Sus scrofa: one gene and its partner. Each later gene encodes a partner of the first gene's protein in a complex. Links are inferred from orthologs where the notes say so. Each region holds a gene or a part of one and is shown on either strand. Other genes may lie near its edges.

Evidence for each region.
Region 2: ECSIT (region 1) and TMEM186 share a complex: the UniProt entries of both Homo sapiens proteins name them as parts of the mitochondrial complex. The link is inferred for Sus scrofa from reciprocal best matches to the Homo sapiens genes ECSIT and TMEM186.

What each region holds. Positions count from the first base shown.
Region 1 is NC_010444.4:70,167,923-70,172,247, forward strand, and holds the start of ECSIT (evolutionarily conserved signaling intermediate in Toll pathway, mitochondrial), read right to left. Parts: upstream 2,841-4,325; 5' UTR 2,691-2,840; intron 1-2,690.
Region 2 is NC_010445.4:33,891,105-33,895,549, forward strand, and holds TMEM186 (transmembrane protein 186), read left to right. Parts: upstream 1-1,410; 5' UTR 1,411-1,542; coding exon 1,543-1,545; intron 1,546-1,575; exon of another isoform or gene 1,576-2,204; intron 2,205-2,564; coding exon 2,565-3,200; 3' UTR 3,201-4,423; downstream 4,424-4,445. Other genes in the region: PMM2 (phosphomannomutase 2), read right to left, coding at 1,213-1,278. UniProt on the Homo sapiens protein: As part of the MCIA complex, required for efficient assembly of the mitochondrial complex I.

The DNA of each region.
Region 1 (4,325 bases):
GCTACAGCTCCAATTCAACCCCTAGCCTGGGAACCTCCATATGCTGCGGGTGTGGCCCTAAAAAGACCAAAGAGACCAAAAAAGAAAAGTACATTACATTAATTGGTTTTCAAATATTAAACCAATATTGCATTTCTGGGATAAATTCCATTTGGTCATGATGTATATAATCTTTTTTTATGTTGCCAAAATTGGTTTGCTGGTATTCTGTTGAGGATTTTTGCAACCATATTGGTAAGGGATATTGGGATGTAGTTTTTGTTTCTTATTGTGTCTGTTTGGTTTGGTATCAGGGTAATGCTGGCCTCATAAAATAAGTTGGTACATACTTGGATCACTCATATCACCCTTTAAACTTTCTCTAGCATCTCCTTCCACCTCTGTTCCACATCTCTGCTCTATTTATAGTACAGCTTTTCCCAAGAGGGGTCTACATGTTACTTCTTCACTGTCTCCAGTTTGGCTCTTGTCCCAGCCACTCCACTGACACCACTCCTGTAAAGACCCCTTGCACGTTCTACATTTAACAAAGCCAGTGGTTATTTCTCTGGCCTCATTTTGCTCAGTTTCTCAGAAGTATCTGGAATGGGTGATGCCCTCCTCCCACCTTGGCACTCTTGATTTTCTTCCTAGCCCCCAGGCCTGTTTCTCAGCCAATCAGAAAGACTGGCTTCCTTCTCTAAAGTGTGCAGTGCTTGCAGACTTGAATGTGCAGATGAATTGCTGAGAATATTGTTAAAATGCAGGTTCTGATTCAGAATGTTTAGGGTGGAGCCAAAGACTTTTTTAATCTAACAAACTTCTATGTGATGCTTAATGCTGTCTTTTGAGTAATAATGCTGCAAAGAGTCCTACACTTTGAACTTGTCTGTCTGCTACCGTAAGGTATCATTCAGCTTCCAAGAGAGGTGTTCTCTCTGTATTTCTGTAGGCAGCTCTCATAGTTCTCAAACCTTGTTCATTTCAGCATTATCTAGGAAGCTTTAAAGAATCACATGCCCAGGCCATACCCCAGATATATTGTATCAGAATATCTAGAGGTAGGGCCCAGGCATCAGCATTTAAAGCACTCCAATGACTCTAACATCCAGCTGAGATTAGACCTTAATCTAAACCTTTGCTATTCAGGGAGCAGCTGTATTGGCATCATTATTTGGATGCAGAATCTCAGCCCTAACCCTGACCTATTGAAGCAGAATCTGCATTTAAACAAAAGTCCACATTTCTCTTATGTGTGTTAAAGTCTGAGAAATGAAGATCTATGTGCTGATAGTTCCCAATGGTTATCACCATCCCTGAGCTCCAGCTTCCATACCTAACTGCCACTTTGGTGTATACCTAGCCATCTCAAACTTATTTTGCGCCTAACTTATGCCCCTGCTTAAACTTGTTCCATCTCATCCTTGCCTGATGTCATTACACCATCATTCCTAGTCAATCAACCACAAACCTGGTTCTGAGTCCACTGTGTTCCTCACTTCCCCAACCAATTCATCAGCTGCTCATGTTGCTACATCCAGATCCACCTCAAACAATCCCATTTCTCTCCATCTGCAAGCCACAACTCCAGTCCATGACCTCTCTTCATCTACCCACACTCCTTTCCTTACCTGCCTCCAGCCAGTTCTCCCTAAAGTGGTCATAGGGAGCTTTTTTAAAATGTAAACTAAAGTGTTCTCCGGCTAAAGTCACTAATTGCACATCACATGAGATAAAAATCAGACAGGCTCCATCCCTCCAAACTCAACTGTTATTACTGGAAGCTCCAGCTACACCATTTATTTCTCTTTTAAATTTTATTTAATTTTTATTTATTTTTGGCTGCAGTGTGCAGCAGCTTGTTGTGGGATCTCAGTTCCCAGATCAGGGGTTGAACTCAGGCTGCAGAGGTGAAAGCTCTGAATCCTAACCACTAGACCAACAGGGAACTCTCCCATTACGCTGTTTCTTAAACAAGCTGACTTTATCTAGTCTCAGAGCCTCTGAGGTTGCTTTTCCCTGTTTGGAAATTCCTTCCCCAGGTCAGTTCATTGCTGTGCCTGGTTATTCAGGTCTATATTCAAATGAGACGCCTTCCCTGACTACTGCCCCATTCCCAATCTAAAGCCCCATCATCCTGATGAATGAATTTTTAGCAATTAGCATCTGAAGTCACGTTTCATTTACTTCTGATTTGTTCAACGTCTAGCTCTCCTGAGACCAGAGATTTTTGTCTGTCTTCCTTTTTGCTGTCTCTTTTGCACCTGGGATAGTGCCTGCTATATAGTAGGTACCCAACAAATATCAAATGAATAAGAAGAGCTAAATTTCTACAAAGCTTCTATAAATCTGAACCCCTAGGCAGGGTGTACCTACAGCAGCTCTGAGGCTGGCTGCTAGGATTTTGACGCCCTTGGGAGAAAGAAGCGAACTTTAGCCTAGCTGCCAACCTGTGGCGTGACCTTGGGAGACGGCTTTAACTTTTCTGAGCCTCAGCTGTCTCATCTCCAAGATTAGAGATTAGGGATGTGGGGAGGCGGGTACACAGAAGGCAGCTCTCCTCGGAACGTCCCGCCGTGTACCCGAAAAGGTCACGGTGCCCTGGCCCCGGCAGCCGGGATCCTCCTGGGGCCGCCCTTCCGCGCTGCTGGCCCCAAAGGGGCTGCCCCAGGGCTCATAAATTCACGCTTGCCTCCCCGCGTGGGACCTACCTATTCACGCGGACGGCCGCGGAATCCGGGCCGGTTATGTCTTGCCCCTGGGCGCCGCCATGTTGCACGAAGATCTTCTGGGTCACGGGCCACCAGGGAGCCGGCAAATCAACAGCGCCAGTTTAAGAGAGGTCCCGCCTCGAAGAAAGGAGCACCAATAAAAAGGCGCAGCGACCTTGGCCCCGCCTCGTGGTGAGTCAGGCCCCTCCCCTAACGAGGCAAGCTGGACTCCCCACGAATGAGCGAGCTTGGTTCGGGAAGGAGAGACTGTGCGGTTTCGGAGCTGGGACATTGGACTCAGGCAGCGGGTGAACTCAACTGACAGTCCTAGTGCCCACCTGAAATACGGGAATGAAATATTAAAGGTCTAAGTAATGTGGATTCCCTCATTTTTTCAACGAACATTTGAAGGCTTACTGTGTGCCAGGCGCTGATTCGGCGCTGACGTTAGGGAAGAAGAAGGACTGCTAATCTAGCTCCTGGAGTCTGGACTAGTGCTTAACCTGTCTGTGCCTCAATAGTCTCACCTCTGAAATGGCCAATTATAATAACCTCGTAGAGGTTTTTTGTTTTTTGTTTTGTTTGTTTTTTGGGCTTTGTTTTATGGAATAATGGAGTTAATCTATGCAGAACAGCCATGTAAGCGTTTGCTACTGTTATTATGGGGGATTCACACTAATACCTTATTCCACCTCCCTCGCTTGGACGGTTGAGGATCCTGTAGGGTAGTGTGCATGTTCACAATTGTGTGTGTGTGCGTATGTGTGTGTGAGATTGCGATAGAGTGTGGATGTTTTCATGGGTTTTCGTAGTTTCTCAGAACTCAAACAAAGGTGTGTACGTTTGTGTGTGGCTGTATGAGGGTAGGTCAGGGATAGTCCCCACGTGTGTCAGTGTGGACATTGGTACATGTGGGACTTTGTGTGTCCACGTGTCAGTAGCTGCATGTGCACTTGTGATTGTATCAGCTTCTGGGTGTCTGTCATTCTGTGTGTGTGGAAGGATGTGGAATTTGTCCCAGAATTCTGAGGGGCTGGGATTAGGTGTGTCAACATTTCTTTGATGGTCCATGCAATAATGTGTGTGTGATTGCATGTCTGAACACTAGTGGGTAGATGACTGTGTTTATGACACCCCATGTGTCCCCAACTTGTGGATAAATGATTGTCCCACCATCAAGACACATGTGACTGTTATAGCCCTTTACATATCTGTGTGTGATTGTGTCTACCAGTGTGTGCCTGTACCTATATGAATCTCTGACTTCGTGTGTGTGTGTGTGTGTGTGTGTGTGTGTGTGTGTGTGTGTGAAACTCTGTGTCTCAGCGGTGGTATAAAGGTCTGACTGACAATGCCAATCTGGGGTGGTCTCTGATGTGGGATTCCATTATGTAGTTGTGTCCAGCTGTTGGTATGTGTTTGTAACACTGTGTGTCCCTGACTTGTATGGGTGTGACTCGTATGGGTGCCCCTCCACCATCGGTATGTCAGTGACAGTATATGACAATGTGTGTTTATGACTGTGCCTCAACAGTGGTCCATTCTGACTGTGGGGCTATGTCTGTGCGTGACAGTGGTGTGTTCCTATGCCTCTCTCTGTGTTTGACTGTCCACCCAACCATAGTGGGGGCTGTT
Region 2 (4,445 bases), on another chromosome or scaffold:
GAGCAGCAGTTTGTGTCCGTAATAAAGTTTTACTGGAACACAGCTGTGCTAGGTCCACATCTGGTCTATGGCTGCTTTTGGATTTAGGTTGAATAGTTACTACAGACCATATGGTCAGCAAACACGGAAGTATTTGCTATCTGGCCCTTTGCAAACAATGAACTGCTGACTTCGGCTCCAGGCCACTCTGAGTGTTTAACAACTTGCAAGTGTGCACTGATTACGGAGTCAAAAAGGGCCTGTGGAGAACTTACAACTGTGCATCATCAGTACATACAGAGCACCTGTGGCTCAGAAAAGTAAAATGATACATCTAAGGCCACACGCATTCAGTGAGGAATTCTGGAGCACACCAGTGCTACCACCCGACCCAAACGCAGCAGGGTAGAGAGAGACTGAGGCCATTTAGCGCCAGTCTCAAGTTCAAATGGCTGCTCTTCTAATGTGTGCAAAGGGTAGGTCAGGGTAAGCTTCATCACAACGGTTCATCTTGAGACCTATCCGTGCTCGTGGCAGCAAAATCTGGAAATGGAAAGCAAGTTTCCAGGAGTCCAAGAAGGTTCTCGGCAGGCAGCCTGTGGCAATCTAGGTTTCCTCTATCACCCCCTTCCACTGCAAGGCTAGAGCAGGGAGTGGCGGTGGCAGCGAATACTTACTGAGTATTATTGAGCACAGTCTACCGTATGTAAGATAACTTTCAAGAACTTAAATGATTTCATCCATTCATTCAAACATCACATGGAACAGGTAGACGCCCCATTTAAAGCCACAGATGCTGAGGCTCTGAGGTTAACTAACTTGCTCAAGTCACACAGCTGTCAAGCAGAGACTCTGCTAGGTCTGTTTGGCCTGGAAACCTATGTCTTTCATGTCAGGCTACAGGCGCAGACCACAGGTGATAGGTCTGAAGAGGGCACACAAGCTGGTAAACCCGGCTGATCCGGGATTCAAACCCAGGGGTGCTGATGAGAGTCCAGAACTGCGTTTTCCAATCAAAGTTCCTTGCTCTCAAGAGTTCCTAGCCTGTCCCTTCTCTCCGAGGACCCTGAAGTCTCGAAAAGCTGGTGAGAGCTTTCGTCTCATGACTCCAAGGAACCCAGAGTAAAGTTCAGCCCCTCCGTGGGAGGTAGGCGGTCCTTAGCCGCCCCAGGTCGCCTACCTGGACGGTCATTACACCCACCGGGGAGCCGTAGGGAGTTTTGCACCGCTTACCTGCCTGGGAGCGGTCAGAGTCCCGTCCACGTCGAAGAGGCAGAGCGCTGGGCCGGGAGCAGCCATGACCCCAGTTTCCACGTAAACCTTACACGACTTACTGGCACCTGGCACCCGGCCCGGAACTTCCGGGTCCGGCCCCCGTGCCGCAGGGCACGCCGGGAAGAGAATTCCCCTCCCGCAGTGCCCGAGACTAGCGTCGGCTTTGCTGGCTGGACTACAGATCCCAGAATGCAGCGCGCCCCCACGCTGTCCCATTAGGGCGGAGGACACGTTCTCGGAGATTCCCGGAACGCGAGGGACTCGCTTCCAGCTGCAGGCTGCGGGGCCATGGTAAGAAGGCAATTGGTGGCAAGAAAGGGAGGGGTCGTGCTTTGGGGGTCGGAGTCAGGCCCCGGGCAGGCCTGCGGACGCCTTAGGTTCTGATTCGGAGAATCCGGAGGAGGGACCTCCGACGTGGGTTCCCCGCCGTCCTATGCCCCCTAGGTCACGTGGGCCAACTAAAATTTAGCATTCACCGTGCATTACTGCATTTAAAGGCTTTAAAACTGTTACCTTCTTCAGTATGTTACGGATACCCACTTTGATAGAGAAACCAGGGCCCAGAGAGGTGGAGTAATTTGCCCAACGATCCACAGCCGGTGACTGTAGGAGCCAGGGTTGGAACCCAAAACTGGCTTCAAAGCTCAAAGCACCTTTCGGTGCAATATTCAAGGTGTAGAACTGTGCATCTAATAAAACCCTTGTGCTATGAGTTGACGCCTCCATCCCTTCCTCCTCCATTCTATCCCTTCCCTCAATCCAGGCCAAGAAAACAGCGTTTACGTTCTGCCCCCAAGATGACGCTTTTAACCTAACCGAGAATTCTACAGTTATTATGATGATTAGCTAGCGGATTTGTTCCCCACTGGGACACTGATTTAGTTTCCTGCTTGAGGAAGTGTTCACACAGGCCGTGGATCCGGTATCCAGCCAGAACCGGCCCTCCTTGGGTATGTGCTGAATGAATGAAGCCTGCGCCTACTTGAGCTGCCTGGAGGAAAGAGGTTGGGTTTGAAAGTTAGACTGCCCTACTCCCTGACTGTGTGTCTTTGGGTAAATTTCTCACCTTCTCTGGGCTTAGTTTCCTCAGTGGTAAAGTAGAAGCAGTGGTTCCTTTAGCACACAGCTTCCCTGACTATCACGTGAGGTAGAGGTAAAGCCTCTGATTTCAGCTTTCTTTCCATCTCTGGCAATCATGCTGACCTCACCAGGCTGGCAGGATCCTCTGTAGCAGATGTTTTGCATGTGGTCCTTGTGTGATTAGCTTGGCTGAGTTCCAGAGAGAAATGGTCTCCCTGTCTCCTTTCCAGGCTGCCCTGCTCCGAGCTGTGCTGTGGTCACCAAGGCAGGCTGCATGGGGAAGGCCTTTCCACAGGCTGTGGCGCTGCAGTGGGCAGGATCCTAGGAGGTGGGCGGGGAGCAGGCCTCTGCCATCCAAGAAGAACCCGCTGGGCACAGAGACTGAGAAATTTCAGATGGTGTACCGGTTTGATGCCATCAGGGTCTTCGGGTACCTCTCTCAGCTGAAGGTGGCACAGACAGCGTTGACAGTGGTGGCCCTGCCGCCTGGCATCTACTGGTACTCCCAGGGCCTCATGACCTTCAACTCCCTGTGCCTGGCAGGCGCAGTTGCCAGCTTCGCGCTGGCCATGTTGTGCTGGATGAGCCATTTCTTCCGGAGGCTGGTGGGCATCCTCTATGTGAATGAATCAGGCACGGTGCTGCGGGTGGCCCACCTGACCTTCTGGGGCCGGCGACAGGACACGTACTGCCCCGTGGCCGACGTGGTCCCCATGACAGAAAGCCACGATCGGCCTCAGGAGCTGTTTGTGCGGATCCGGCAGTACAGTGGGAAACAGACCTTCTATCTCACCCTACGCTACGGACGCATCCTGGACCGGGAGCGTTTCATGCAGGTGTTTGGGGCGCTGGACTCACTCAAGTGAAGGACTGGGAGCCAGGCCGCCTGGGTCTCCCGTAGGAAGGCTCAGGGAAGGGTGAGGCTGAAGTGGGGAAGTCAGGCAGCTGGAAACTGTCAGGACCCCAGGGACTTGTCTTCTGGAATTGAGAAATTCACAAGGTAGAAGCTAGCAACCAGGTTTAGGAAAGAGGCCCTGAGTGCAAATTCTTAACTGCACTTATGTATGACATTGACAACGGCCAGAAGTTTCTGTTAAGAGCCAGATCTTGGAGGAAGCTATGCCAGGCTCGTTCCAACAGTGCACTGCTGGGAAATCAAAGACAGAGAGGTGGGGGTGTGTCAGAAGACCTGGGTCCCTCCATTCTCAAATCCCTGTCCTGAGGCGGGTTATCAAGTCTCTCAGATTGTTCTCACATTTTGTAAAGTGGAAAAATCCTGTCTCCTGGGATGGGTGTGAAAATAAACGATATCACTTAGTGCAGAGTTGCTAGTGCTGCAAAAGGCTTCTATGCCTGTGCTGCGCCCCCTGGTGGCCCCAGATCCGAAGGGACTGGGATGAAGCCTGGAGGTGGGTCCTTGGCGCCAGCCCCTCAGGGCACAGGGTCTGGGGTGGGGGTGTCCTCCAAGCAAGTTCACATCCAGAGGTCTAGGGGCTCTCACATGGGCAGGCTCTGCAACGTGATAAAGTCAGATGAGTGATATGCTGGAGCCGTACTTTATAAACTAAAGCTAGCTATATGCAGTGCCCCTGGTAATTAGTAATATGTTTACTACATAATCTGTAACAAAGGGCAAGTCATGATCTTTATAATTCTGCCACTGAAAAGTCAAAAATCACTAGGATTTGTTTTGTGGCCTTCTAGTCTTTTTTAAGAACTGTAGTAAAACAAACATAAATGTATCCTTTCAACCATTTCAAAGTGTACAATAAGTGATATTAAGTACATTTACAGGGAGTTCCCGTCGTGGTGCAGTGGTTAACGAATCCCACTAGGAACCATGAGGTTTCGTGTTCGATCCCTGGCCTCGCTCAGTGGGTTAAGGATCTGGCGTTGCCGTGAGCTGTGGTGTAGGTCGCAGACTCGGCTCGGATCCCAAACTGCCGTGGCTCTGGTGTAGGCCGGCGGCTACAGCTCCGATTCGACCCCTAGCCTGGGAAGCTCCATATGCCGCAGGAGCAGCCCAAGAAATGGCAAAAGAAATTTAAAAAAATTAAAAATTAAAAAATACATTTACAGTGTTGTTCAACCGTCACAACTCTTCATTTCCA